Regions from separate parts of the Mus musculus genome. Here regions 1, 2, 3, 4 and 5 are each reported to be linked to region 6. The links are microRNA targets in miRTarBase. Many come from high-throughput screens and were not tested one by one. Region 6 holds a microRNA gene; each other region holds the end of a gene's coding sequence.

Evidence for each region. Region 6 holds the annotated microRNA mmu-miR-324-3p (CCACUGCCCCAGGUGCUGCU, at 3,773-3,792, shown strand). A microRNA usually pairs through its seed, bases 2 to 8, with sites in the 3' UTR of a target mRNA and lowers its output. Matches are read on the target gene's strand: a 7mer-m8 pairs with bases 2 to 8, a 7mer-A1 pairs with bases 2 to 7 and ends in A, and an 8mer does both.
Region 1: the mRNA of Cbfb is a reported target of mmu-miR-324-3p. Seed matches in the 3' UTR shown: 8mer at 4,549-4,556 and 8mer at 3,842-3,849.
Region 2: the mRNA of Nfib is a reported target of mmu-miR-324-3p. Seed matches in the 3' UTR shown: 7mer-A1 at 2,980-2,986 and 8mer at 4,736-4,743.
Region 3: miRTarBase lists Rabgap1l as a target of mmu-miR-324-3p. The part of its 3' UTR that is shown has no 7-base or 8-base seed match.
Region 4: the mRNA of Vezt is a reported target of mmu-miR-324-3p. Seed matches in the 3' UTR shown: 7mer-A1 at 52-58.
Region 5: miRTarBase lists Garnl3 as a target of mmu-miR-324-3p. The part of its 3' UTR that is shown has no 7-base or 8-base seed match.

The regions. Positions count from the first base shown.
Region 1 is chr8:105,215,574-105,220,647 of GRCm38, reverse strand. Cbfb (core binding factor beta) reads right to left here. Exons shown (of 6, transcript NM_001161458.1): 6 at 2,659-4,744. The coding sequence ends at 4,722. Among named protein-coding and RNA genes, the nearest start is that of D230025D16Rik, 7.1 kb to the left of the region's middle.
Region 2 is chr4:82,292,560-82,297,633 of GRCm38, reverse strand. It overlaps Nfib (nuclear factor I/B), which reads left to right. Exons shown (of 12, transcript NM_001113209.2): 12 at 823-5,074. The coding sequence ends at 952. Among named protein-coding and RNA genes, the nearest start is that of Nfib, 210 kb to the left of the region's middle.
Region 3 is chr1:160,252,942-160,258,015 of GRCm38, reverse strand. Rabgap1l (RAB GTPase activating protein 1-like) reads left to right here. Exons shown (of 21, transcript NM_013862.5): 20 at 481-573; 21 at 750-1,444. The coding sequence ends at 764. Among named protein-coding and RNA genes, the nearest start is that of Mir1927, 40 kb to the left of the region's middle.
Region 4 is chr10:93,965,472-93,970,545 of GRCm38, forward strand. It overlaps Vezt (vezatin, adherens junctions transmembrane protein), which reads right to left. Exons shown (of 12, transcript NM_172538.5): 12 at 1-5,074. The coding sequence ends at 4,722. Among named protein-coding and RNA genes, the nearest start is that of Mir331, 4.1 kb to the left of the region's middle.
Region 5 is chr2:32,982,469-32,987,542 of GRCm38, reverse strand. Garnl3 (GTPase activating RANGAP domain-like 3) reads left to right here. Exons shown (of 30, transcript NM_001355200.1): 30 at 713-1,318. The coding sequence ends at 887. Among named protein-coding and RNA genes, the nearest start is that of Slc2a8, 2.9 kb to the right of the region's middle.
Region 6 is chr11:70,008,323-70,013,396 of GRCm38, forward strand. It overlaps Mir324 (microRNA 324), which reads left to right and starts at 3,721; the gene lies at 3,721-3,809. It overlaps Dvl2 (dishevelled segment polarity protein 2), which reads left to right. Exons shown (of 15, transcript NM_007888.4): 13 at 1-138; 14 at 455-673; 15 at 822-1,787. The coding sequence ends at 1,270. It overlaps Acadvl (acyl-Coenzyme A dehydrogenase, very long chain), which reads right to left. Exons shown (of 20, transcript NM_017366.3): 8 at 4,850-4,979; 9 at 4,636-4,761; 10 at 4,126-4,324; 11 at 3,864-3,968; 12 at 3,362-3,448; 13 at 3,214-3,276; 14 at 3,023-3,124; 15 at 2,846-2,943; 16 at 2,684-2,756; 17 at 2,527-2,599; 18 at 2,376-2,448; 19 at 2,203-2,278; 20 at 1,861-2,114. The coding sequence ends at 1,974.

The sequences.
Region 1 (5,074 bases), not on the chromosome of region 6:
TGAATTCCAGGACAGCCAGGGCTATACAGAGAAACCCTGTTTCGAAAAACCAAAAAAAAAAAAAAAAAAAAAAAGGTACAATTTTTTAAAAATTGCAGTGCCTATACATTTCCCCCTTAACACTGAGTCTCCATACCCACCAGGCCACTATATCTAAAAGATCACTTTGATCTTTAACCAAAAAATTTCTCAAACCTCCTAATCTGTTGGCCACTTCTTGTCCTGGTCCAAATGTCTTCCATTTGATTGACATAATACATTGAGCACTGCTCCTGTCTCACCCATGCTGTAGCCCTTATCTGATGCTCTTTCAAACCTGCTAAGCTCTGACCAGCCGGCTATGTGCATTCAGTATCTTCTCTAGTTGATTGTAGCTTTCGGCTTGGAAGTCTCCTCAGGTTGATTGACTCTAACTACCCAGACCAGCACAGACAGTGCAACTGCCAAGGCTTCCTATATAATTTAAAGGTTGCTACTACATTGGATCAATTTTGGGCATAGACTAGGTTCCAGGAGGTCAGAGACAATGTCTTTTTAGGGCAGTCACTTTATATTGTTTCTTCTAAACTATCCTCAATGATTAAGTGTCCTGCTTGCACATGTATTATATGTAATACTGTGTATGCCTAGTGCCCATGGAGTTCAGAAAAGATTGTTCTAGCCACTGCTAGCTGGAAGTAGGATGGTTATTGAGACACCATGTGAAAGCTGAGAACCAAACCTTGATCCACTGCAGGAGCAAGTACTTTTAACTGCTGAGCTATCTTTCCATCCTCAGATACTTTAATACTTTTTAAAACCATTAATATAGTTTCAACATTTTCTTTGAGCTCTTTCCATTTTATAATTCATTACTGATTTATAATCTCGCTAACATTGATAGCAGCAATATAAGCAATTTTAAAATTCCTTCGTAGCTAGCTACCTTAAATATTGTCATTTTAATATATAGTGTTAGGTCCAAAGCTCCCCCCCCCCCCCCAAAGGGCAGTGCTTGTGGCATTGTCTGAAACTCTGGGTTTCTATTTATCAGGAGTCTCATTTAAGCCACCAGGAGCCTCTCTTAATCGACTGCCCTAAAGGTCAACTACCTCAGGTAAAGGCATCTAGGTCCTGGTCAATCCAGTTTATATCAGCAGCTCAAAGATCCCACTGTTAACACAGTAAAAATGGCTTGTTCTCCCCCATTTTGCTCTTCTGTCCCCCAACTCCTGACAGATAGCCTTGGCAGTCTGACCCCCAGCAAACCTTCCGTTCTACTTGTGAACTGGTCTGCTTCAGTGGTTTCACCTCACCCTCTCTTATAGTTGAAATTTAAAATTGTTTAATACTTTTTTTTAAATAGGGTCTTATTATGTAGCATAGCTTAGGATGGTCTTAAATTCACAATCCTCCTGCTTTGGTCTTCCTGATACTGGTTCAAAATCCTAATTGTGTCAATTTAGTATATAAGGTTTTTTTTTTTTTTTTTTGTCCTGGAACTTACTTTGCAGACCAGGCTGGCCTAGAACTCAGAAATCTGCCTGCCTCTGCCTCCCGAGTGCTGGGATTAAAGGCGTGTGCCACCACGCCGGGCAGGTGTTTTGTTATTTGTATAAAACCTGTTTATTACAAACCAAACCTATGGAATGCTTCTAAAGTAATTTTCTGATGTAGATCCCTGTTCTAGGAATGTTGGGTTTAATACCCACATAATAATTTCTAAAAATAGCCTGGAAGGATATATAATGTTAGAAATTTCCCCCGAGGTCACTGTTTTAAGGTCATACCTTAGAAAATGGATAAACCCCTGAGACTGTTGTTGCCTGGGGGTGGATAGGGGAGGGGCTTTCTCTAGATCTGGTCTCTATGGTATAAATCCATGGTGATCCTCCTGTCTCAGCTGCCTAAGAACAGGGTTACAGATGTGACCCTAAGTTTTTGTCTTAAAATTTTATTTCTTGTATGTATGGGTGTTATGTACAGGCATGTCTGGGTGCCACATTTGTACCTGAGCCAAAGGAGGCTATATGTGGGCTTTAGATTCCTTGGAACTGGAGTTATATACAGAGTTGCCATGTAGGTGCTGGGAATTAAACCAGGACCTCTGGAAGAGTAGTCAGTACCCTTAACCACTGAGCTGTCTCTCCAGCCTCCCCGCCCCCATTTTCATAGTCTATACTTACAAAACCTTTGTAAGTTTTTGTTTTTTATCAATCATCTGTGTATCCATGTGGATGTGCGCTATGTTCACAGAGGCCAGAAAGAGGCGCTTGATTCCTGGGTACTGAGGTGAGTGTGAGCCGACTATTCTGTGTGCTGGGAATCACACTCCTGTTCCTACTATAACCTTCAGCAATAACTAAAGCTCTTAACTTCAGAGTCATCTCTCTAGCCTATTTTGGTTATTGAGAACAGCCCAGGATGGCCTTGAACTCGCCAAGAATGACCTTGAACTCTTGATCCTCCTGCCCCTACTTCCTATATCCACACTCAACTTCAGACTTTTTGAAAACCACATCATGTAATGGGAAGTTACTGTACATTGATTTAAAGGAGTTAGAAGATATGACCACTAGATGGCACTGTTGTTGCTGTCCTTAAAAAAACTGTTATAAAGGATCAAAGACTTGAAGCTAGTAAGACAGAAATCATCACATATCAATAAAGAGTCATGACTTTGTTTTCAGTACACAGAATTTTAATGTGAAAGTAAATAAAACATACAAATATACAGTAAAGCTAACGGCAAAGCAATCTGGAAGCTTAAGGCAAGTTTTAATGGAGATGAATCTTTAAAAAATGATGCAATGATGTCATTTTAAATACAGATTATGAAAAATATGAAATTGCATCAATAACTTAATTTTCAAAGCCTGCACTACCGAAGAAAAGGAGTTTATGATCTTAACGCCAGCATTAAGACAGACAGAAGCAGTGCAGAACCAGTAAGGAACATTTGCTATTTACAGAGGGACGGCCACATTAACACCATGTGATCTTACTGACTGCCGGACTGGAAGCTCTTGGCGAGAAGCAACAGAGAAAATGTACCACCGAGATGTTATTTTAAAAAAGAAAGGATCACTTTAAAAAGGTAACTCCCGAGAGGCATCAGGGCACTGAGAGTGTAAACATGTGAGCTGTACAACACCAAATACCAAGCAAATTCATTCATAGTGCTCAGTAACACAAGGTCAGCATCAGCTTCTGTAACACATTATTGTTTATAATAATTCAAACACAATCCTTATCATGCACGACTTCAAATATATAACAAATATTTTTATTTTGAGATACAGGGTACTTGTTTATGAATTATAAGACCTATATACAATGAAAGACACACTTCCACAATCAAGTATCTTTATATGCTTTTTAAATGCAATGACCTTATTCAGACTTTTCTGAATTGACCATGTCAGTTTTTAAAATTTTCTAAAATAATGCCATTTTATGATAAAATACATTTTTGCAAAAATTCAGAAATGTAGTAACATTTAATGAATACGACCACGGAAAGTATTGTAAGCATGTGCCAATGACTTAGCACTTTTTCCAGTTTTATATTTAAAAAATTGCAATTTGACACTAAGCCTGTTTTAAAAATATCGTTACATTGATTCATCTCAAAAGGCACTATTAATAGTCCTTTTGTAAAATACCATCATCTATATCTGTGAATGTTTTGCCCGGAATCAATGGGAGAAATGCATCTTCTGCCCAGATGAACATTTTCTAAGACTCATCTTCATCACCCAATTTTGTTTCTACAAAAGCATGCAATACAAAATACAAAATACACATGAAAGCAGCTATCTTAAACATTATTTTAACACAATTTACCTGTGTAGCTGATTTATCACTGCCTCCAGTTTAATATGCTGTTACATACAACAAGTTCCAGTATCCTTTTTCTGACTGATTAAAAAAAAAATCCCTGAATAAAACAGAAGCCAGTCTGTGGCTTCTTTGGGCATTTCTGTAGAGCATTCTCACCTGTGAAGAGCATCTCTACCCAAACTCATGATTACAAGATATACCTTGAAACAGGGTCTGAGACAAAATTTAATACTAATGTGAATTTTTGTCTAAAGGGGATAGGGTGACTATCAGCATTTGAAAGGATACTGTGGCTTTAACAACTGTAAACGTTTGTTTTAGGAGGCTGTGGCAGACAGCTCTATTCTAGGTTTATAGCTGGAAAAAATAACTGCAAACACATCTTCATTTGTAAAATGGTGCAGAATACAAAAACACGAAATGATGTAGAGAAAACAAACAAAAACCAAGAACCCTTATCTAAGGAGGAAAGCTGTATAACCAACTCGTCTGAAAGTATAAAAGAATGTTAAGCAACCCTGATACAAATTTTAATTTCTTATCTTGTTTCTAAATGACATGAGCTTTTAAGTTAAAATGAAGAAAGTATATACTTTCGATACAACTAAAATAATGCCAACAAGATAAGCTTGCATAGAAAAAAATTTCAAATTATTACTGGCTACATATTTTAAAAATTAGAAATGCAGGCATTATAGTGCAAAACCATGGCAGTGGGTGACGTCTTCACTGCCTCAGGCCATGAAACCAACTGCAGTCCCTCCAGTTGTCACAGTTTCTGGTCGCCCAATGAGTTATTTATACCAACTAGAAGCAGTGTGTGTAGAGATGGGGCACATAAGCTGTGCTCCACTTAACGAAGTTTGAGATCATCACCGCCACCTAAGTTAGAACCAGGACTAGGGTCTTGCTGTCTTCTTGCCTGCAATGACAAAAATCGAAATAAAGTCATGAATGTGGTTTGAAAACTTAAATGACAGACATACAAGATATTAAGACACAGTGTCATACAAAAAATGTTCATAATGAAAAACTTTTCAACCAATATATATATATATATTTTGGTTTGTTTTTTATTTTGGTTTTTCGAGACAGAGTTTCTCTGTAGCCCTGGCTGTCCTGGAACTCACTCTGTAGACCAGGCTGGCCTCGAACTCAGAAATCCGCCTGCCTCTGCCTCCCAAGTGCTGGGATTAAAGGCGTGCGCCACCACTGCCCGGCCTCAACCAATATTTTAACAGGCAAGACATAC
Region 2 (5,074 bases), not on the chromosome of region 6:
CTAAGGAAATTATAGAGGAGAGCAGGAAACCGCCAGAGAACCCAGCAGCCCCCGAGCTGCACCCTCCACAGTGGGCTTTTGTACAGAATGCAACCAGCTGGGCTCTGTGTGGTCGAGGATAGACATCCACTTGGTTGTCTAAAACTCTTCAGTTATGTGTGATCATTAGGTATTTCACTATATATTGCACATGCCTGAAACTCTATTATTTTCTCACGTGAGAGAAAAGAATATGTAGTTCATTACATTTTCAAATGTATGTAACCCAACAGGTCGATAAACCCACCTCACCCAGAATGTCTTATGAATTAAAGATTAAACACAACTAATGTATCTAGCAAACTACAGTAGTCTAGTATGGCTACAAATTTATGCTTTTCGTCTTTTTTGTTTGAACAATGAAAATCATATTGCATACAGTGCATTGAAATGGGCCAGATATTTAAAAAAGAGTCTCCTTAATTAACTAGAGTTCAGCAATTATATATAGTGAATATAGTTCATTTTGTGTTTTTCTGCATAGTAGTTAGGTCTTTTCATGGAAGCAAGAGATCATATAGATTACACCTGTATGATGTGTATAATCTAGAAGTTATCACATGTATGTACATATATATGTATATAAGCATAATATATATAATATAGCAAAGTCAATGCATGCTATTAATTATTAAATTTTATTAAAATTTTGGTTTAAAAAGTTAAAAATATAATAGTTGTAATTTAATGCATTTTGAATTTATATTTATGATATGGCTGGAGATTTTAACATTGTCTTATTTTTTCTTTCTTTCTTTTTTTCTTCCCGTCTCCTCTCAACAGTCCTGGTACCTGGGCTAGCTTGGTTCCTTTTCAAGTGTCAAATAGGACACCCATCTTACCGGCAAATGTCCAAAATTATGGTTTGAACATAATTGGAGAGCCTTTCCTTCAAGCGGAGACAAGCAACTGAGGGGAAAGAACCACAACCATAGTATAAGAAAATTAGGGGAAAAACACCCAACAAAGGAAAAGAGGAAGACTGGACAACAGGGAGAAAGGAGAGAAACTGAAGAAAGAAGACGGTAGACCAGCATTGCAGCACTTACAGTCACTAATTCCCTTAAGGTTGAGACTATAGTGACAGGAAAGGGTCAATGACATCTCACTGATGCTAGACTGCAGCCCCTGCACCGTAGCCTTTGTTACATGAAGTCCGCTGGGAAATAGATGTTCTGTCTCTATGACAATATATTTTAACTGACTTTCTAGATGCCTTAATATTTGCATGATAAGCTAGTTTTCTTGGTTAGTATTCTTGTTGTTTACGCATGGAGTCACTATTCCTGGTTATCTCAACAACGAAGGCTAGGAGGCGGCGTCAGAGGTGCTGGGGACAGAGCCATGAGCCAGCCATTTTATAAGCACTCTGATTTCTAAAAGTTAAAATTATATATATATATATATATATATATAAAAGAATCTCTGTAGCCTTTAGTTATCCGTACAGATTTATTAAATTTTGGCCCTTAACCCAGCCTTTTCCAGTGTGTAACCCAGTTTGAAATCTTAAAAAGGAAAAAAAAAAAAAAAGAGAAAAAAGAAAAATAGGGAAAAAAAAAACAGTTTGAACTCAAAGGCTCTATGGAAGAAATGCCTCTATGTGGGTAAAGGGTTACCTCTGCATGCAACAGTAAAAAGTAATATAATGTTTTCCCCACAAAAGAAACACTTAACAGAGGCAAGTGCAATTTATAAATTTATATCTAAAGGGGAATCATGATTATAAGTCCTTCAGCCCTTGGACTCTAAATTGAGGGGATTAAAAAGAATTTAAAATAATTTTGAGCGAATTTATTTTCCCCTCAGTTTTTGAGGGCATTTAAAATAAGGCATTAAATCAAGACAAATCATGTGCTTGAACAGAAAAAAAATAAAAAATAAAAAAAATATTGAAAACACAGCACTTAGGTTGGCTTAGCTGCAGCCTCCTCAGAGGTCAGATTATTTATTTAAAATTACTGGTTGCATCAAGAACCCATAGGGTGTACAAACGGTTCTATACAATCTGCATCGTAGAGACAAAGAGGCAGGGAAATCCATGTCACAAGGGTAAAGCTCCCCGTGTACAGGCTGGGAATGCCAGGTAGGCTAGGAAAACCCGCTCGCTCTTCAGAGAAGTGCCATCAGGGTGCTGGGAACATGCATGGTGCTTTCGGACATTAGCCTTGTTCAACACATTTCTCGTATTGACAGATCTATAGTGTGCATGGGCAGACACATGCTGCCTCTGTGTCTCTTAAAATTTTAATTAAAAGTACTCTTTCCAGTAATCCTAATTTGCACGAAGATATAATGTCCACATTACGTGCCTTGCCTTGAAATCTAAAAAAAAAAAACAAAAGACAAAAAAAAACCACAAAAGTGACATCACTACACTTGTTTTGCTGCATTTATTATCGTTTTAAATCTTTACCATTTTTATGACAAAATATTTTGTACTCCAGACGAAGAAAAATGTGTGACATCATGGATTTTTTAGACAGTTACACCTTTATCTCACATTTATAAAGCATATCATGGCTGTGTATAGTTGCCGCTTAAAAATTGTAATCGACCAGCAATATTTTCAGTATTTTTGGTGTTTTTTCTATTAACCTTTCATGTTTTTCATCTTCCAATTAATATTTGGGGGGGAGGGGTTTCAAATTTATACGAATTATGCAATACCAAGTTTTGCCTATGTAGGTAGTGCTTTTAGCTGTATTGGTTATTATAGGTAAGTACACAGATTTAAAAAAGAAATAATGTATGCTTTTTTTGTTTGTTTGTTTATTTGTTTGTTTGTTTTAATTGACCAAAGTGGGTACTGCTATTTTTGCAGTGTGATGAGGTCCTTTTGTGTACTGAGAGATGGACAGGGGATTTTTTTTAATATACATATATAAATATATATATATTCAGGGGTGGGTGGGAGGATTTTTAACCCTTTACAGTGTAGCAGTGAAGCACTGCACCCTGAGATGGGCCTGGGCTGCAAAGCAACTGTTCTGCCTACTGTGACAAACTTCAACTTAAACAGGTTTCCCTCCCTCCACCCCTCCCCGTACTTTCCCACCTGGAGTGCAAGCTGAACTCCTTTCTGGTTTCCAAGCTAAGAAACCAGGAAGAAAAAGCAAGCACAGCAAAAGCCTCCTAGAGGCCAACTTAGAGGAACTGCCCTGTCTTATTTTAGTTGTTATTGATAGTTTTTTGTTTCTTTTTTTTTTTTTTTCCTGAAAGTTCCTGAAACCACAGTGGAAAGTGAGCCTGTCTCATATTTGGCAAAGACATTTCTTGAAGTGCCCACATAGCAGATGTTGGCTGTTTCACACTTTTGAGTTTAACACAGGAATAAGCTTTCTTCTACCAAACACATTCCCCCATCTGGAGGGAGAGCTCCCCTAGTCCCTCCCCGCCCTCTGTCATTTTGTTAATGACAGGATAGGCTGCTCCTGTGACTTACTACTTCAAAATGAATGGTGTTGCACCTAGGATCTTCTTCTTTGACATCCAGAAGGTTGACTAGAGAGAGGGTTGCTCTTCTTGGATGTATTTGGACTGATAGAGTAAAATCAAAGTTCAGTTTTTAAGGAACAAGAATAAATCAATCCTCTTATTTTACCTGCCCTTGTAAACTGGAAAGTGGAGCAGAGGGAAATATAGAATTTTAAGCAACCAATTTTTCTGTGGATGAATTAAGTGTGTTTGATAATGATGGTGGGGGTTGATTTGAACGGGTGGTACTTCAAGTATATATTTGAGTTAATTTCCCCTGAGGACTACAGGTGAATAGAGACCAATTTTATTTTGTCTTTTCCCCATCCCCCACCTGGTCCTATTGAGTGTATCCATTGCTCCAAGGAGATCTTTAGGAATTAGTGACATACGCAGTCGGCTGTAAAGAAGCTCTCTTGACCCCACCCCCAGCCCCACCCCAGGCCCTGCCCTAGTAAATAAACTGTCAAGTGTATGCATAGCAGATCATTTAATAGTGAGTTCATGAGAACGATGCTCAGAAGCCCGGGAATTAAATCTGACTAGTCCATTCATGACCACATGCTGGTTAGCACAGTGGGATTCTAGGATGCAGGTTCTAAGAAAGGCCAGCCTTGTCTGTTACTTGCTTTGCAGATAACACATCCTCTCAGCCAAGCTCATAGTGTCTTTCTGACCTATTTGCTGAAGAGTGCAACCCTACAGGACACAGTATTCTTTCCAGGCAGTCCCCTCTCCTTGTCACCCGTGAATGAACAATTGTTGCTAAAGTACATGGCACACTGTGGGCATCCCTGCCTGCCTCTTGGGTACAGAGGCCTAGGGCAACTGTTCCTTTTTTTTTTTTTTTTTTAACCTAGTTCAATGTTTCTTCTTTTCTTTGAGATAAACTTATTAAAAAAGCACTACTATAGAAAATCTCGAATCCACGTTTAGCCTTCTATTTTTTTTTAAAACCAGGAAGTATATTCTGACGAAGGGCCCCACTTTTGCAGGTCTTGCACGCCCCTTCCTTACCCAGACTGCAGAGCTTCAGGATGGTGAAGGTCACCCAAGGGCATCTGTTAGGAGGTGGTGTCTCCCACCACCAGCTCATGGCACTGTCCAACCTTTGTTGTATTGCTTTGCAGCCCACCACTCACAGTGCCTCTAAAGTGTGTGTTTCCCGAAGTGACGTGAGCAGTCGAGACTTGCCTAAGGGGGGAAAAAAAACCTGAGAGGCAGTGAAGGAGACTGTACATAAAGACATGGCAAAACCTTAAGTATAGCAATATAGTTATCGGGTAATTTTCGGGTGGGCAGCTCCATTATAAAGTATGTGAATGAGTCTGTGAAGCTGCGAGGAGAGAGAAGAGCTTGGCCTTCTTAATGAACCGCCTACCTTGTAGACAGTAATTTGTACACTGTATAGTTTTGTTAAGAATTTTTTTTTAAATTAAAATTCCCATGTTTGTAAAGCTAACTTTTTAACAATTATAATGGAACTATATGTTGTTTCCATTTTTAAAGTAAACAAGAATATTCCTTGTTTAGAGACTGGACTCGAGTTAAAACTCTC
Region 3 (5,074 bases), not on the chromosome of region 6:
TTTATTTTATGATATTATTAGTCAATTTTTTAATTGTATAAAAAATTTGTTTCTCAGTATGGTAGAATAAATTGTATGTAACAATAGCTAAAATTAATAACATTTATTCCCAGAATGTTGTAACATCAGCAGTATGGTAGAACAGGGATTAACTATGACTACTTTTGTATCATTGGGACAGAGCCACACACATTTGCTTATGTACTGACCATAGCACCTTTTATCACAGTGGAGTTGAATGTTTCTAACCTCAGCTACACGGTTTACAAAGCCTGCAATGTGTACTGCACTGGCCTTTACAGGAAAAGCCTTCAAGACTCTATTCTAGAATCTGGTTTTTACTCTTACCTTTGAGTTGGAAATGCTGTTTTAGAATACAAGAAACATAATTGGGAGATACTTTAAACAAAAGTATTTGTGTTTTTTTCTTTTAAACAAAATAAGGTTCTTATCTAATGTGTTCTTTCCTAAACACTGCAGGTACCAACCAAAAAGCTGAAGAAATATGAAAAAGAATATCAGGCGATGCGGGAGAATCAGCTGCAGCAGGAGGACCCAATGGATAGATACAAGGTATGGGGTACAAAGGACTTCACTTATCCTAGATAAGCAGTTGTGGTGAGTTCAGCTGCTTCTGTTCAACTCTGAACCACTCAGACATGGACAAGCTGACTATGTGTGTGTGTCTTCGTTTTCAACTGAGACAGTCAAAAGTCAAGTATTCAACTATAACATTTCTTTTCTTTCAGTTTGTATATTTATAGGTAACTCCAGCTGTTGAATTTATACTGGGAATCTTCATGAGAAGCTGAAAGAAAGGGAAAAAGAAAGTGGCTTTCTGCTTTCAAAATTGAGGAAAATAAACCAGAAAATGCCAAAAGTACTGTTTTAGCAGTGCACGTTCACTTCCACAGAGACTTTTAGGTGGGACTGTTCCAAGACACTCTCGAGGATATTGCAAACTTGTCCCTGACTATAGCACATGTTAAAAATACAAATTTAGAAGAAAAAATAAAAACCAAATGGTGTATCAAGCACAGTAATGTGATTTCCACAAACAAATCATAGGTAATAGTGATATTTGCATGCAGTTTGAGAATCAAAATTATCTCATTCATAGCTTCATTAGTTCAGGTCTATACATTTATATTGCGTAAATGGTCATGTCAAGCCCAGATTGCCATGTGGCAATGCGATGGGATAGGAGGATCATTCATGTCCAGGAGTTTAAAACCAGGAGCATAGTGAGACCCCATCTAAAAACACAACATAAAACGACGACAAATGTCTCATGGAGCCCAAAGAAGCTGTACTACAACTGAACTGTAACTGCCTTGCACCCTTTTTCTGTTAAAGCAGGCATGTATAAACACTTATAAACAATAACATTATTTGTAAAGTTTCCACTGAGATAAAATTAAACTTTTAAAAATCGGTGTTTTAAGTTCTAGTATTGTAGGGTATGGCTCTTTGTTTGGTGTGGGGTTTCACTTTGACAGGGTCTTGCTCTGTATTCCAGGCTGATCTTTATCCAGACCTGTGCCACCATCCCCATGCTGTGGTAACTTTTATCTGCACATGTCACATGCCCTTTATCGCTATTTTTGTATTATTATAGTTTTCTAATATATTCTGTAATTAATATTTCTGTAACTGTTTTATAATGTGTAGGTTCCAGCGATCTACTTGGCAAACTCACAGTCTTCAAGTTATAATTACATTTCAGGGTAATAATTGCCAACATAATTCAGGCCATGAGCAGATTTTTTGATCCTTTAGATATAGGAAAATCTGGTGTAAGAAGTAATGAAGGTCTGGAGAGATGGCTCTGTCTGGTGAAGGCACACGTTTCCAAGCTGATGACCTGACTTCCATTTCCTGGACCCACAAGTGGAAGGAGAAAGCCCTGACCTTTATACTCACACTGTGGCATATGTGTGCCCACATATAACACACAAAGACATGCCAGCTGGCTGTGGTGGCACATGTCTTTAATCTCAGCACTCCAGAGGCAGAGGCAGGTGGATCTGAGTTCAGGGCCAGCCTGGTCTTCAGAGTGAGTTCCAGAACAGCTAAGGCTACTCAGAGAAAGAAGATCTTGAAGACACTGAAAGCTCACACCTGTTCAGTAACAATTCCTTCTTTACCATTGGAACCCATATTGCATAAATGGTCATGTCAAGCCCAGATTGCCATGTGGCAAGAGTGTTGGGAAGACTGTGAGTATTTAAAAACAAAAACAAAACCCAGAAATGTCATACAATAAGCTGTTTCAATTTGGTGCTATTATTTCTCCCACATCTGATGATATTGAAGAAGGGAAATTGCAGAAAAGTACAGATTGGCATGGAAGAGCTAAGAGTGCATAGGTTACTCTGCTCTCAACACATGTGCTTTTTGCTGGATAAATCTAAACAAGGGCCTAGGGGTATACCTCAGGCATTGCCTAGTATGTATGGGATCATAGGTTCAGTGCACAGGAGCTTGCAACTTCATGCCTCCCATCTGACCATGCTCTCTGTGCCCATTGCATTGTCATTTGATATTGCTGGACTCACTTACATGCAACACTTCAGTTTCAAACCAGGAATAAAGAGAAGAAATGGTGTTGGTATAAATTTGTTTTAAAATTCTACGCATGGTGAAATGTTCAGCAATTGGGTAGTGGTGATGTCTATACAGTTTCATGTAACTGAATTGAATACTAAAGTATGATTTTTGTCAGACATGGTGATAAATGTAATGCTAGCACACAAGAGGCTAAGGGAGAAGGGTGAAGTGTTTGAAGCCAGCTTGAGCTACATATTGAGACCATGACTCAGCAATCCCTCTTTAAAAATCACATGATTTAATAGCATGTAAGTTACATCGAAACAAGACAAATGTTCAAGAATATTGGCCACCCTCTTTCTCTTCTTTCTCTGTCTGTCTGTCTGTCTGTCTGACTGTCTGTCTGACTGACTGTCTCTCTCCCTCTTTTAGTTTTGTTTGTGTGTGTGCTTGTGTGTGTGCACACACATGTATATGCAGATGCATGCACAAGTGTATGCAAATGGGCATGGAGGCACAAATGTCAATGTCTGGTATCTTCCTCAGTTACTCTCTACCTCAGCTTTGGAGGTAGAACTCAGTTTTGGAGGTCACTAATTTCGCTCACCCATAGCTGCTCTGTTGCTGTTTGTTGTTTGCTTCCTCTTAATGTAGGTGCCAGAGACTTAAACTCAGGCCTTGAGGTTTGCATGGCAAGCACTCTACCAGCGGAGCCATTTCTCCAGCCCTACTCTTTCTCTGTGAGACAGTGTCTCCCATGTCATAGGCTGGGCTTGAACTCACTGTGTAGCTGAAGATTATTATGTCAGACATCTGAACCTCTTGCCTCTACTTCCTGAGTGCTGAGACTACAAGAATAAACCACCATGCCCAGTTTATATGATGCTGGGAACTGAACTTAGAATCCAGGGATTCTTGTGTGCTAGGTAAGCACTCTGCCATCTGAGCTGCATCCCCGGTCCTTCCATCATTTCTTTCGTGAGCCACAAGTAACTTGTATCAAAATACAATACTCACGTAGAAGTCATACTTGTGCAAATTTTGTCAAATTCAAGCTAACTAAAGACTTTTGATTATTAATTTTCAGGTAGAATATTTGGAGTCCCCCCCCTCCTCCCCCCACATATATACACTGCCTAATCCAGCATCAAATTTGTACTGAGATGCAGAGAACCCTCAAAAAACTGCTTACAGCCTTTAGTGGAGTCTCTTTCTGCTTAATTCCAGAAGATTCCAAAAGAGAAAAAGGAAACTTTCCAGGAAATGAGTATTCAGTATTATTTTAAAACCTTTTTTATCTTCCTCCTTAACCTGATCAAATGTATGCAATATTGGTTTTTTATCTGATTTTTGGTTTGTAAATTTGATTGAGTTCAAATGGGGTGAAATATGAGCTATAGATGTGGCTAATGATGTCCCCCAAATATACATTTGTGAATAGGTATATCTATGTTATATCACTTCACTTATCAGTGAGCAAACCCACCAAAGCATATAAGAATGTTAGGGACCAGTATCCTTCTCATACACTGAGTACATGGGTCACTTTCAATGTGCGGAAGAGCTTCAGTGGTCTGGCCAGCTGCTGAGGCTTCTAGAGAAGTGCAGCCTTTTACAGAAGGATGCACTGTTTCTCTTGTTTAATTAAGACATGCTGATGCTAATGCAGGTCAGGCCTTCGAAAACACAAGTAATTAATTAAATGCAGTGAATTTCCCAAAGCAGAGTAAAAGCTACCTGTTCTGTAGGGAAAGATCCTGGGAAGAGCGTGGAATGCTTAAACTCTGTTGGGCTTAAGATATGTATAGTATCATAAATATGTAATTTAGAGCTTAGCTATCTAGCCATTGTCAATATGGTTAAATGTAGAATATTTAACTGCCTTTGTGAGCTTAATTAGGTATAGTAAATTTTTTAAAGCCAAAACATAAGTCTAATCAGTAAGTCAGTGGTGAAAGGCTTGCCTAGCAGGAAGCCCCTGGGTTTGGTCCCCAGAACCACAGAACCAATCCAAATCTGAACAGAATATAATTCAGATAGAAATGATTCTTCTGGGCTGGAGAGATAGCTCAGAGGTTAAGCACACTGCTTGCTTTTCCAGTGGTCTTGAGTTAAATTCCCAGCAACCCCATGGTGGCTCATGACTATCTATAATGAGCTCTGGCTCCCTCTTCTGGCCTGCAGGTATACATGCAGGTAGAACACTATACATAAATAAGTAAATGTTTAAAAAAACAAAAACAAACAAACAAAACCCTAGGGACCCAGTATTTCTAAATGACGTGACTTTACGGGGGGGGGGGGGGGGAAGAAGTGATTCTTCTAATGAGTTCTGTAAATCATACTAAGTTTTTCTTTCTTACCTGAGAAAGAGAAGGAGGTAGCTCTCATGTTGTTTTTTACATTAGTGTGTTAGGCTTTCCTTACTAATGGATGTCAAAAGACATAAATTTACTGTGGAAAAAATGTTGTTCTTCCATTGAAAAGTATCATTATCTGTGCTATTTCTTCCTTACCATAGAGA
Region 4 (5,074 bases), not on the chromosome of region 6:
TCAGGACAGCATGTGGTTTCCAATTCAAATGGAAAGTATATATGACAGTAATCACTGCAAAAGAGTTACAGGTATAGAACCAACTTTAGAGAAGGCAAGATGTTGGGGAAAATTATCTTGTATAACAATACTTTCATATTGAAAGTAGGCATTTAACCCAGCAATTTCACTGGGTCAAAGACTGTAATCCAGCACGTCATAAGAAATCCTTCAGAAGAGTCAGTGAGCGTCAGCAGTATGCCTGTCACTCTGCATCTGCCTGCTCTTACCTTACACAGCTTAACTAGCAGAGTCATCTAGTCTTCACAGCAGGTCGGAAGGCATGCGTGAGAGCGGACAAGGGCCGCTAATTCACGCACACTTAATCTGCAGTAACAGGAACGGAGGAATCCCTACCAAAACTGAACGCATGATGACTGAAGCCCAGTCAAGTCAAATGGAACTTAATAAAGGGACAGTTCTTGGCGTTTAGTGTACCAGAGGATAACAACCCGTGTTAATAATGACCATTTTGAGCTGGCTGTAGTAGTCCATGTCTTTCATCCTAGCACTTGGCAGGCAGAGACAGGCAAATCTCAGGGTCAGCCTTGTCTACATAATGAGTTCCAGGGTAGGCAATATAGAGCAGCCCTGTCTCAAAAAACCAATGGCTATGATGATTATGATGATGAATTTGTGTCTTTGTGTACATGTATACAAGAGGGTATGCACACACATATTCATGTGTATGTACATGTGTGTATATGGGCTAAGTCAGAGGTTGAGTTGATGTTTAGGGTTTCCCTAGACCACTCTCACTGATGAGGCCAGAGTGGCTGGCCAGAGACTTTCTGGGGATTTTTCTGACTCTAACCCCAGGCATGGGGTTATAGATGTATGCCATATATATGCCCAGCTCTTTTATATGGGCACTGGGATCTGAGTGAAGGTTCTCATTCTCGTACTTGTTTAGAGGACACTTTACCCAGTGAGTCATCTCCCCAGCTCCTTGATAACCGTTGTAATATAGCAAAGATTATGGTGTATTTCATACATTGCTAGAGAACTGGGCTGTCCAAATCATTTATTCCCCTGTCAAGTCTGCCAGTTCTTACTAAATGAGTCAGGTTTAGTTTCAAACCAGTAACTCTTGGTAATAAGACATGCTATGCAGAATTCGGAATAATGACATAAACTTTAAGCCTGTGTACTGAGTGAAAACTAATTAACCAAAACAAATGGCCAACATTCTTCTGAAACACACACAGTGACATACAAAGGGGAGAGTCGGTTTTTCTTCTACAGTTACATTCATTGATAAAGAGACCTAGCACATCAGCATACAAACACCAAATTAATATTTCAAATACACGGCAATCACATTTTTAACCAAGTAATGTCTTAGCCACTTCTTAGTAAAACACTAAATGCACACACAAGAATGCTAAGCAGCAAACCAGGCAATACAAGGTTCATGCACACGACCGACAGAAAAGCTCTCGGCCTTTTCCAGTCTACTTACTCTTAGTTTAGACACAGTTCTAGCAAGCGTGGCAATCGGGTTTCTCAGTCCACAGCAGATTAAAAGCAGCAAATTAGGGGCCTAGTGCGGAAGGCAGGCACACAACACGGCGGATTATAGGGGAAGGTAAGAGAAACTGTGAAAAAAACAGACACGACTCAAAAAGCAAGCAATGTGAAATCTCGCAGCAAAGGAGTGCCTGACGTTATCAATCCCAGTTGTCCCCGAGAGGGGACGTGTGCATTCTTCCCCAAAGGAACTGATGTCCCCAAAGGACAGGCTAAGCTAGTTCCGGTTCCCAAAGGACAGGCTAAGCTAGTTCCGGTTCCCAAAGGACAGGCTAAGCTAGTTCCGGTACGTGCCAGAGTTAAGGGAGAAAAGGAGACGTGATCCTGTAAGCAGACTGTTAAGTCCAAGGACTAAATACATGGGCTTGCTTTTGTTCCCTGAGAGATGAGGGGACTCAAGTTAGTCACCAGCTGACGAAGACAATGAACGGTCACTATACTGGACATTTTGCTGTCTTTTATTTCCTACATTTTTCTTTTTGAATCTTTTTTTCTAATTTAAGCATAAAGTACAAATAAGTCCCCATACACAGATCTGGAAAAAACTCACTTTTGGCTTCAGGACTTGGTTCTGGTATCCTTGCTCTATTTGAGTATAAAAGCAATATGCTATGGCTAACTGATAACAGCCCTCCCCCTAGTGTTTCTATTCATTTAGCAACTTGAAGCATGATTCATGTTTTGCATGGGAAGAAAATATCTGAGTGACACAACCTGAGGTCAATTCTATCAACACCCAGCCAAGTTCTAGTCTTTTAAATGGATCAGAAATTGACTTTTCTTATGCTTACCATTCAAGCAACTGTCTTTTAGTATATAAAGTAGGATATTACTATCTACTTTAATAAATGGAGCTATACATTTATAACTTCTCCAGCCTCCAAACCAACATTTCTTTCTGCATTTCCAGGAATTACAGTTTTCCTGAGAAGACTCTCCCTAGATGATAAGGTCACAGTACTTGAATCCTCTGAACAAAAGGCCTGGGATTCAAACTCCCGCCTCTTTTTGCAGACACCTGGCACCTGTTGTTTTCTTTTCTTTCTTTTTTCTTTTCTTCCTGGACAGGTTCGCACAGTGTATTTCTGGCTATCCTGGAGCACGCTCAACTGGCCTCGGACTCGCAGTAGCCTTCCTAACAGTGCACCTGGGGTGCTGGCATCACCAGTACAAGTCGCGTCACGGTCTGAAATCTGTATTCTTAAACATCCTTAGCAATCTGCCTTAAATGTGTGTTCTCTTCCTAACTCACTTATCATCAACTCCTAATAGGTTCAGATGCTGTGACTATTAATTAGTTTTAAGAAGGACAACAAGGGCTTTATGAAGTTAGATAATATGCATAGCTTGCACAAAAAACCAAAAAACCCAAAAAAACCAAAAAAAAAAAAAATCACAGAGGACTGCAAATGAAAGATTAGCCAGGACTCTGGCCCTGCATCTGACAGACATCAGGGCCTTACAGAAACAGAGAAAAAGTTTTGAGGCTTGCTAGGTGACCACAGACCACTTACTGTCCCGACCTGCCCATCTGCTAGGTGACCACAGACCACTTACTGTCCCGACCTGCCCATCTGCAGATGCACCAAGGGTAAAAATTCTGTTTTCATGAGTGACCCCAAAACAAAAAGCACGCTTTTTTTTTCTTCTGAGTTCTAGATTGATCCTGGTAAAACCAATGTTGGCAGTATCTGTAGTAAAAGCTGTCAGAATACTACTCCCAAAAAGATGAATCATGCTATAAAAACTGGCAAATAAGATTATGAATGGGTTTCTATGAAATTGCTATGGTTGAATCAAAATAGACTAAAAGAATTAAAAATGACTAAGTTTTCCTGTGTTAAAAATTAAGAGAACGCTTAACAAAATTTCCCTAAAAAAACTTCCTTTTCTCTTGAAGTTAAGCATCTTCCATGTCTGACTTAAGGGACTGACGGCTCTGGCCATGCTGCACTGCTAAGTATCAGCAAAGGCAACATCACCAACAGTGTAGACAAAGGGAAAGATTTTCCTCAGGAGAAGAAACAGTTCCAAAAACAACAACAAACCTTGAGAAGAAGTAAGCTTCCTGCTAAAAGCAGTAAGTTACAGGAAGTCAGATACTTTCCTCCTGAAACAGCAGCATCAACTGAGTTTTGTTGTTTTGTTTTTGTTTGTTTTTCTTTCTTACATTCCTCACAGAAGAATGCCTATAAAGTCTGGGAGCGCACAGTGGCAACAGGTTTCAGAAGGAGACTGTTTCTGCAAATTTCATTGAAAACACAATTCCAGCACAAAGCGGACAAGACTGGTCTCTGGAAAGCATCTCGAGACGCATTCACGATGAAGCACAAAGGGACAAGGATGCTTTCCAAGATAGCTGACGCGTTTCCTGAGTCTTAGTAAGGCAGGCCAGGCTAGAAGACAGCACAGGACCTACCTACTGCAGAGGCACAGTTGTCTTCCAGTAAACTGATGTAAATTAGTTCCTGCAGGGCTGGGGCTGGGGCCTTTGCTGGAGTGACAGCGCTTGGACATCATGGGGTGTCCCCTAAGAGGACATTGTCCTCTTAACCTCTGCATGACCCGTGAGAAATGTCCAAGATACGCTGCAGTCCCAGCTCCCTGCTAACTACTTTCCAGTTCCAAACCCCAGCACACATCGGTTGTGGTAATTAAATACTTTTATTTAGAACCTGTCTCTTTGTTTTACGAGTGGTATAAACAAAATAAAGTACGAACAATGTATTAACATGACCGCTGCAGTTCACACTGCAAGGACACAGTAGAAAGGGCTCATTCTAAATGTTTCTGCTCGGGAAGACAATCACCCTAGTTACCTTGTGGCAGCAAAGTTTTGGCAAAAAGTGATAAATTCATGTCTTATTAAAAGTACTTAAAGATTTGCCAAGATTATCAGTTTTGCCACAAATAAAACAGCAGTTTATTTATTTATTTTTTAAAAAAGTCCCTTACCTTTCTCTCCTATGCCTAAAGGATCTGACTAGACAGGTATCTACTAGTTTCAGGTCAGGTTTTCAAATCAGTATTCACCCTGTAAATTCACGCCGTAGCCTTATAGAGAGTAAACACACACTCATTTCTCTTTCCAGTCTTGCAGCTAGAACACTTTTGTAAAAAGAACAATCAAGGCCATCGCTTCATCTTGGCTTTTATTTTTCCTCCACCTCATTTTCACCGCCTTCAACTAGCTGTTCTTCCTCCTCGTCGCCAAAAGTTTGTTCCTGCATGGTGGTAAAGGACAGGGACCGGGCGGCCACTTCTGCAGCCAGGCCAGCAGAGAAGGTGAATTCTGGTGGCAACTGGAGTCGAGCCAGCCTCTGCTTAATGGAGAGTTGCAGTGTGTCCCTGGGAGTCGGAGGGGCAGTGGCCCCCGCAGCAGCAGCCTGAGGAGACTTAGCCTCACTCTCATGCTGGTGGCACATGGTTTCCTCGGCTCCTGGAAGGAGGAGGCCTGTGTCTGCAGAGGTGTCTTTGCTTGGCCCCTCTGTTGGGCTGTCACACA
Region 5 (5,074 bases), not on the chromosome of region 6:
TGTTAAACAAACAGCAACAAACCCACTGTAAGTAGCTGGGCATGATGGCTCAGGCCTGGAATATCAGCACCTAGGAAGTAGAAACAGAAGAATCATTGTAAGTTCAAGGCTAGCATGACCCTGGTTCACAGTAATAATATTAAGGGGCTGGAAAGATATCTCCGCAGTTAACAGCATTTATTGTTTGATCTTTGAGGACTCAGTTCAGTTCCCAGTACTCACATGGTAGCTCATAATTATCTGTCATTCCAGTTCTAGGGGACCCAATGCCCTCTTTTAGCCTCTCAGGGCACAGAGATGCACAGGTATAAAGATATACATGCATACCAAACATCAATTTGCATAAAATAAAAATAATGATAAACAACAACAACAATAAATCATGGTAGGAAGGCAGGTAGAAGGCCCACTTGGCTAAGGGTCAAGAACAGAGGAAGCAGCACAGGCCTGGCTTGGACCGCATGGTAAGAACGGGCACAGATAACAGGACTCTGAGCCACTGCTCTGAGCACGGTGCATGGCCAGGGACACAGAGAAGAAGGGACCAGCTTCACAGAGTGCTAGGGAGGCCGCAGGAGGTCACGTGGACAGGGTGGAGGGCAGCATTCAGGGCTCTGGGGCATTTGTGGGATCACAGACTCCCTAAGAAGTGAAACCCTGCACTTGTTCACCTCGGTCCTCCCACCCTGTGACAGCAGCTTCTCTCTTCCAGGATCCCATCAGGAATTTTGGAAAGTCCGGCATCAGAAGCCAATCCCGAGGGCCACAACCACTGGGCAAGTTCTGAGCAGGACGCTGGGGTGGATAAAGAGGGCAGCCCGGGCTCAGGCAGCAGCCCCTTCCAGCTCATGGCCTCCTCAGAGGAAGACATCATTGACTTGAAATAGAGTCTATGCCCTATTGGCCATCCTTAGTTTTCTTACGCAAATTTATACTGTTCAAGCAGCTCCAACGTCCAGTCTCAACACAGCGCGCCTTCGGCCAGGCAGCGATCCACGGACCAAACCTCCTGCGCCCTCAGCCGGTGGGTCACTTCTCCAGTGTCCAGTGCCATCTTTCTCGACCCTGTTTCTTTCCATTCAAGAACCGTCGGTCCCCTTGTAATAAAGGTGGTAGATTTCATTAAGGTTTTAGATCAAAACTTTGAATAAATCAAAAACGTTCATTCTTATTCTCTGCAACCCTTCTCATATTTTATAGGTTTAGATGGAAATTATTTTTTTCGAAAATTTTGACTTATGTCATATAATGTTTCTTTTATGGAAAAAAAGATGCTGCTTTTTAATTTTACTATAATATAAATAAGCTTTCTTTCTTGGCCCTGTTACTGCCTGTTCACTGGGGTGGGGCCCCCTGCACTCCTGCCTGGAGCCCTGGGAAAGATGAATGAAGCCTCCTGCTTCCTCTGCTTTCAAACAACAAGGCCAGGGCACCCGTCAGCGTCTTAGGATAATTCATCTCACGACTGGGAGGTCGTGATGCCGGGAACCCTGCATCCTTGCCGTTGAGAGCGTCCAGATCCCCTGACTTGAGTGGGTCCACCTTGTTTGGTTTGGTTTGCAGTGTCGGCTGTGGAGCCCCAGGCCTTGCATGCACCAGGCAAACAGGCTGTTGCTGAGCTGAGCCCTGCTGTGTTCTTTCATGTGAACCCAGCAATTGTTCTTCCTCTTATAGATACATTGGAATGTGAAGGGCTGGAGAAATGCCTCAGCGGTTAAGAGTACTTTAGAGGACTCTTAGTTAGGGTGTCCATTGCTGTGAAGAGACACCATGACCAAGGCAACTCTTTGAAGGACAACATTTTAGTTGGAGCTGGCTTACAGGTTCAGAGGTTCAGTCCATTATCATCAAAATGGAAGCATGGCAGCATCCAGGCAGGCGTGGTGCAGGAGGAGCTGAGAGTTCTGTCTTGCTCTGAAGACAAACAGAAGACTGGATTCCAGGCAGCTAGGAGGAAGGTCTCAAAGCCCACCCCCACAGTGATACACTTCCTCCAACAAGGCCACACATCCTAATAGTACCACTCCCTGGGCCAAGCACATTCACACCACAAAGATCCTGGTTTAATTCCCAGCACCCACATGGTGTCTCACAACCATTTGTAACTACAATTCCAGAGGATTTAATGACCTTTTCTGACCTCCAAGAGTAGGAGGCACACACATGGTGCACATACATGCATGCATGTACACTTATCAAAATTCATTTTATAAGTGTTAGATTTTTTTTATAAAAGACTTTTTTTAATGGGCTAGAGAGATGGCTCAGAGGTTAAGAATACTATCTGCTCTTTCAGAAGTCCTGAGTTCAATTATAATAAAAAAAAAGATTTTTAAAATTATGTGTATGCAATGTGCCCCTGTGTGTATGTGCACATGACTGTAGTTGCCCACAAAGGCCAAAAGAGGACAGAGCCCCTGGAGATGGAGTTACCGGCATTTGGGAGCTGCCCAAACTGGTACTGGGAACCCAACCCAGGTCCTCCACAAAGTCTGATTTTTAAAATCCCTACCTACCCTGATTCCCCTTCGTGCCCACAAGGCCACATTGTCAGCCCACAGGAAGCAGGTACGAGGAGTTCTGATGTCACAGTGTGTGTCAGGGGTTAGAGCTTTAGCTCCTTCCTCCTTGCAGGCCATAGGGAGTACTCCCTTCCTTTCCCTTCCCCCTTCTGCACAACAATTGAGTGTGATACATGGGACTGAAGGTGCCTGGACTCTCTTTAGCTTTAGAGGCAACTTCACGCTGCGTCGCAACCCCATCAGCAGATTTATTAGGTCTGTTCTAGCTTTTGTCCAGCTGGAGGCTTGTGGGGATCCATACAGAGGCTGGAGGTCCTCAAGAACCATGCACTTTGGTTTTTGAGAAAAACCATGGTCTGGCAGGGCTCACCAGTTATGCTAGGCTGGATGACCAGTGATCCCCAGGGATGGCATTACAGACATGCCCCGCCACACCTGCTTTTGCAAGAATACTAGAGGGTCAAACCCAGGTTCTCATGCTTGCAAAGCAAGCATTGCATCAACTGAGACATCTTCCAGACCATCTGCTTTTAAGGTAAGAAAACAGACTCCAAAAGAGTAGATGGTTTGACCCTTATGTTCTTTTAGTCCCAGAAACATGTGCCTCTCTCTGCCCCGTGTGTCTTTCAGAGGCAGGCTAAGTATTTCCTATCAGCTGGGCTTGGCTGCTGTTTATCTGTTTTAGGATTAGGGAGAAGAAGTTCAGTTTCCTGGAGCCAGGGCTGGCCTTGAACTTTTGATTCTTCCACTGGACCTTCCAAGTGCTAACTGGGAAGCAGGCTTGTGCCACATGGCTGGCTGCTGGTTTTTCTGTTATACAAATTAAGGAGCTTGTGTCTGTATTTTTCCTGTCGTTTTTTGTTGTTATATCTTGATGAAACAGGAAAAAAAATCAAGCCTGTATTTATTCTTCCAGGACAGTAATGAAGCCGCTTATGACTAAATAAGAGACAAAGGTATGAGAGATACAGAGGAAGCAAGAGAGAGATCTGACTCACCAAGCTAGTATTGCTTTGCTCATAGAAAGGGACGGGGGGGGGGGGGGCTTTCCTAGAGACAATATCTGGTCCAGATTGGGCAGGGATACCACTAGCCAATGGTTCCTAGGTGCCCATGACTCAGAAGTCTGGTGCTAGCTGGGCTTACTGTAGCATCCCTTCTACATAAGCCACTCTGCTGAGCCAGTCACTCGGGTACAAAGTACCCAGTCTGGATACAATTCATCCATGACCTTTACTCTGCAGACATCAGAAACCTGATGCCTATTGGGAAAAAAAGAGAGAAGAGCAGGTGATTTCAAAGCAGTGATAAGATCTATCACCCAAGCAGGAAACTTCGTAGAAGGACAAGCCGGTATTGCCCGCCCGCCTTTAAGAATAGTCTTGTGGGCTGGTGAGATGGCTCAGTGGGTATGAGCACCCGACTGCTTTTCCAAAGGTCCGGAATTTAAATCCCAGCAACCACATGGTGGCTCACAACCATCCGTAAGGAGATCTGACTCCCTCTTCTGGAGTGTCTGAAGACAGCTGCAGTGTACTTACATATAATAAATAAATAAATCTTTAAAAAAAAAAAAAAGAATAGTCTTGTGATCAAAACTTCAAACTGCTGGTTGCTACAATTGGGTGGCTGCAGTAACGTAAAACCACTGTACAGACGGGATGGGCATTTTAAGGCTTAGCCTGCTCACAGCCCTCTAGAGATGAAGACACCCAGGCACAGAGAGGGACTAGGTGCCTCTCACTGGTTCTTTCTACATCTGTACGGATGAAGCTGCCACAAAGGTAGCGATTAAGCAGAGCAGTAGAGGCACACAATCACAGGGAGACTCGGGGCGGGAGGACAATAGAGATAATTACCATGATCGTGGGGTAACCAGGGAACAAGGGAATCACTAAGTTCCACTCTGTCCCACTTCTGGAATGGGGGACCTTGCCTGACAGGGTCCTCATCATCTCAGAATTCTAGACATTTGTAGCACTCATGATGAAGGTGAGCTGCTACCAGAAGCACCAGGTCAATGTCAGAAAGTCCAAGGATAGGAACAGGTGGCCCAAGAGAGTTTTCTTGGAGCCTTTTCACCCTGACGCTCTCTGAAGCAGAAGTCAAAGTTGGGGAGGAGCCTATTCCAGGGAACTGTGGGTAGTAAGGGTGGGAAGTCTTTCGGGAGCCAGTGTGATCCATCGCTGACCCACTACTACCCTCATTAGTGGAGGCTAGATTTAGAGACAATTCCATATAAAAATTAAAATAAAATAAAAGTAAAAATATAAAGGATGGCTCAATGCTTACGAACACTTGTTCCAGCAGAGGGCTCAAGCATGCACACACATGGCTCACAACAATCTCTAACTCCAGTTCCGTAGGATCTGATGATGCTTTCTGAATTCTACAAGCACCAGGAATGCATGGGACACACACACACACACACACACACACACGTGAACATGTAAACAACACTCATACAAATAAAGTTTAAATAAAAGCAAAAGAAACCACCAAAATAGGGGCAGCGAGATGACTCTGCTTGTAAGGTGTTTGCCCTCAAGCTT
Region 6 (5,074 bases):
TTCCTGAGCGCCGGGAGGCCCGCAAGTATGCCAGTGGGCTGTTGAAGGCGGGACTCATCCGGCACACCGTCAACAAGATTACTTTCTCTGAGCAGTGCTATTATGTCTTCGGGGACCTCAGTGGTGGCTGTGAGAGTTGTAAGTCAGCAGGTCTGGCTGTAGGAGCTCAGGCTGATGTGTGCCCCGGTACTGCTGAGTAGTACTGCTGAGTAAGCGAGGTACCTGAGCTGCATCCCCAAGGGAAAGAGTGCTGCACGGGGCTCACAAAAGCATTTTGGGGCTATTGGTGAGAGTCCTGGCTGTTTCTCTGCCAGAGCAGCAGAGTTTCCTGTTGTAAGCCATCATGGTCTCTGGCTTTTGTCTCGTGGGGAGCTCTGGGGAAATGGCTCAGGTTTCTCTGTTCTCAGGAATCCTGGCCTCCTAAAGCAGGGACCTCTCTTCCATTTTTTTCCAGACCTAGTTAACCTCTCTCTGAATGACAATGACGGTTCCAGTGGGGCTTCAGACCAGGATACCCTGGCACCTCTGCCTGGAGCTACTCCCTGGCCCCTGCTGCCCACCTTCTCCTACCAGTATCCAGCGCCACACCCCTACAGCCCCCAGCCTCCACCCTACCACGAGCTTTCTTCGTACACCTATGGTGGAGGCAGTGCCAGCAGCCAGCACAGTGAGGGTAAGTGACCCACTCCCACGTACCAGTACAGCCAGAGAAAGTGGGCACAAGTAGAGCGGATTCGGGGAGGAGAGGCAAGAGCAGGGACTGGGATCCTGAGGACTCTGGGCTGAGCTTCATTTTCCTCGTCACCTCTGCCCTCCAACAGGGAGCCGGAGCAGCGGGTCGACAAGAAGCGATGGGGGGGCTGGGCGCACAGGCAGGCCTGAGGAACGGGCCCCTGAGTCCAAGTCCGGCAGTGGCAGTGAGTCAGAACTCTCCAGCCGGGGAGGCAGCCTTCGGCGGGGTGGGGAGCCTGGTGGGACTGGTGATGGCGGCCCTCCTCCATCCAGGGGCTCGACAGGCGCTCCTCCTAATCTCCGAGCTCTTCCCGGGCTCCATCCCTATGGAGCCCCATCTGGCATGGCTCTCCCCTATAACCCCATGATGGTAGTTATGATGCCTCCACCCCCACCCCCTGTCTCCACAGCAGTGCAGCCCCCTGGTGCCCCTCCAGTCAGAGACCTGGGCTCCGTGCCCCCAGAACTGACAGCTAGCCGTCAGAGCTTCCACATGGCCATGGGCAACCCCAGTGAGTTTTTTGTGGATGTTATGTAGGGACCCATCTTGAGGCCACATTGGGTCTGTGCCCTTGGCCTGGCAAGTTTCAGCCTGGTGCCCTTCATAGTGCCTGGGCTCAGCCTGGCGGCTGGTGCCTACCAAAACGTTTTTGCCACTGTGACTCTCACCAGCAGTGCCTGGTCCTTCCCCCTCTTCCTCGGGGGTAGATGGGGACCTTTGGTTATTTTTAGCTTTATTTTTTATAAGCTTTTTGGGGGGTTAAAATAGACTTTCTTATATTTGGGGGAGTATTTTTTTAAATAGACAGTTCCTCTTTTATATGGAGAATCCCTTCTAACCCCAGAATATGACCGCCACCTCCAGGTGCCTAGTCAGCTCTCATGTTGAGGGTGGGTGGTGGTCAGTGGTACCCTGGGAAGAAGAAGGTGTGGGCTGGGTACCCCAGACAGCAGTCCAAGGAGGCTGGTGGTGTGTTGGGGACTGTGTAGCTGCCTTTGTTACTCTATTTATTTTAGTCACTTGTACAAAACACCAAATAAAGCAAATAGAGGCCAACTCCCCAAGCCTCTGGCTCCTTTCTTTGCGAGGCAGGCAGTGGAGAGGAGGGAGCAGTGACATTCACGGCAGACAGTGACTTGGTAGAAAATTTATTGTTAAGGCAATAAGTACTCCATCACCCCCATAAAGGGTTTTGGCATCAGAGAAGGCACATGACCTTGCCAGGGCCTGATTGGGAGTCTCAGATTCCCAGGGGGTTACCGGTGACCAGGCCACCATTCTCCACCATGGCCTTGGAGATGCTTCTGAAGTTCCGGAAGAGCTCCTGATGCTGAGGGCTGGACTGCAGACTGGCCATGTTTTCTCGGATCCGAGTTGCAGCCTGGGGAGAGGGAAGGGGAGGGACGGTCAGGCCGTCCTGTACTGGGGAGCTCCAAGGCCCACCTGTACTGGGGAGCTCCAAGGCTCACCTCAATGCACCAGCTATCACAGAGCATTTTCTCATGCTGTGCCGTCGGGTAGCCCTCACTCAGGGACCTTGAGGCTCTGTGAGGAAACAGAGGTTAAAATGATCCTGAGTGCTGGTGTTGGCCCAGCTCCTCTGTGGCTCTAGCCTGCCAAGCGTCCCTCGCTGCCGCCTTACCTGGACAGAACCACCACCATGGCATAGAGGTCAATGGCGCCGTCCGCCAGTCGCTGCAGCAGGAACTGCTCGTCTGTCAGGTAGATGAGGGTGGGGCTGTTAGTCGGAGGGAGGGAATCAGGGAGGGAAGGGGGTTGCAGAGCTCACTCACTGACAATCCCTTTCTTGTGTTTCACCAGCTTGGCCTCCACCACGGTGGCAAATTGATCCAGAGCCTGCACTGCCTGAAGAGACAAGAGTCACAGACAGAGCTCAGGAGAGGAAGGCAGCGCACAGCCACCGCAGGCTCTGCTTTAAGGCTCACTCACCAGTTCACCACTGCGACTTAACTCTGGGTGGACAATCCCTGACAGACTCAAACCACTGCCGATTCCTGTCCTCCTGAGAGGAGATGGAAGAGTGACTGGTCAGTTGCGGCCTCCCATCTTGTTTGACCCTGACTCTGACCCTGGCCCCGGCCCATGAGGTACCGTCTCAGCTGTTTGCCTGCTTCTCCCATCAGGAGGCCAACGTTTCCAAAAGGATTCTTCAGGGCATTGCCCAGCCCAGTGAGTTCCTTTCCTTTGTCCTGTGGAGAGAAGGGGGACGGCGACAGTGAGGACTCAGTGTCCTCCCCAGCTGCTCTCTCTCATCCTCCTTCCTCTTACCATACAGCCTTGCAGAGCCACAAACAGTCGAAGAATGTCATTTGCCCCTTCAAAGATCCGGAAGATTCGAATATCTCGGAGCACACGCTCCACCCCTGGTTCCTGGCACGCAGGAAGACACAGAAACCTCTGTTGAGATGTGCCTGTCCACTCTGAACAGATGCCCCCCCCTGCCGAGGAATACTCTGTACCTTCATGAAGCCCATGCCCCCCATTATTTGGATGCACTCATCTGCCACTTTCCAGGCCGCCTCCTGAGGACAGAGAACCAGATGAGTTGGATTTTTGAGCTGAGGTCCTAATCTGGACTCCGCCCTCCCATCACACCTGGGTCCTCACCGAGCAAAAGATTTTGCTGATGGCGGCTTCTATCTGGAAGTCTTTGAATCCCTGGTCCATGTTGGCACTCAGCATGTAAGCCATGGACTAAGGGAGCATGGTCGGGACATGGGGAAGACAACAGGGAAGGGCTGCATCAGACAGAATGGCTAATGCTCAGACCTTCAAGACCAGTGCTGATCTACTCCTCCAACCCTTGAATTCACTTTAGCCTCCTGGTCAGGTCAAATATGTCCAATATGTGACCCTCTGGTATATCAGGGGCTTCGAGGCTTCCGACTTTGTAAAGGGGTGGGTTAAAAGTCGTGTTTGGTGCATCTGGGCAGCATTTAGCAGAGCAGCACCACCCTCCAGAAGAGAACTGACTATGCCTCCTCGCATCCCCTAGGGCATTGGTGTAAAGCTGGAGACCCACTGCCCCAGGTGCTGCTGGGGGTTGTAGTCTGACCCAACTGTGAAGAAAGCCATAGGGCTCCAGGGAAGGGGCCCAGGAGGCCCTTACCTCAGTCACATACTGCAGAATAGCCATCCGAGCCAGCTTTTCCTGGATCACCCCAAAGTTGTGAATTTTGTCCCCAAACTGGGTACGATTAGTAGCATGATCAACCTGCAAGAGGGCGCATGTTACCCCACTGTGGTTCTTCAGTTTCCACCTGGACGGGCTGGAGGCCTAACTGTGCCGATGGTCGAGTGTGCATGTGTGTGTGTCGGCGCTCTGAGGCAGTCAGGGACATGTGCTAGCTAGGGACTGGGCTGGGACTCACCGCCTTGGCAATGAGGGATTTCATGGTGCCTGCGAGGGTTGCAGCCATCCCGAATCTTCCGTTGTTGAGGATGTTGACAGCAACCTTGAAGCCATCTCCCACCTCTCCTAGCACATTCTCTGATGGCACCTTCACTCCATCAAAGTACACCTCTGACGTGTTAGATGCTTTGATGCCCATCTTCTTTTCAGGGAGCCCACTGAAAAGGCAGGGCAGGAAAGTTGAGGTATGAACAGGTTGCTGTGGGGGAAAACGGCCTTTTCGGGTCTCATGATCAGGGGAGAACTCCCCAGACTATAAAAAGGATACAGGGCACTGCCTATGTGCCCCAGGGGCTACGGATATCTAGCTATGGCCTGTTAGCCTGTGTTCCCCCAGTGGAAACAAAACTGCTCACCTCCTGTGGGTGCCTCTTGTACAGAGATAGCCCCAGCGTGGCCTGTATTGACTATTTGCTCTTGAGAGCCCAGTGCTGTCCCCATCCTTGATTCTGTTTTGCCCCATACTCACTGGGTAACCCCTCCGAAGCTCCTTTCCACTACAAAAGCTGTGATCTTCTCTTTCACGGCCCCCGTGGCTGCATCTTTAATTGGCGTCTTGGCAAAGACAGTGAAAATGTCAGCCAGGCCCCCATTACTGTGGAAGAGTGAGGTGGTTAGTATAGGGTTTAGAGCAGCAGGGTCAGGCCACTGGGCTGAAGGGTAGAAGAGAAACGGAAGATTGCCTGATCCAGATCTTGCTCCCATTGAGAGTGTAATATTTTCCACAGGGGCTGGGTATGGCTGAGCTTCGGATGGAGGCTACATCGGATCCACTCGAGGGCTCTGTTAGGCAGAAAGCAGCCAAAGCCTGCCCTGTGGGGGAGAGAACGGGCTCACTGGGGATCCTGACCACCAGAGTTGCACCCCCTCATCCCCAGGCAGTTCCTTGTAACACCGTGAGCAGTGTC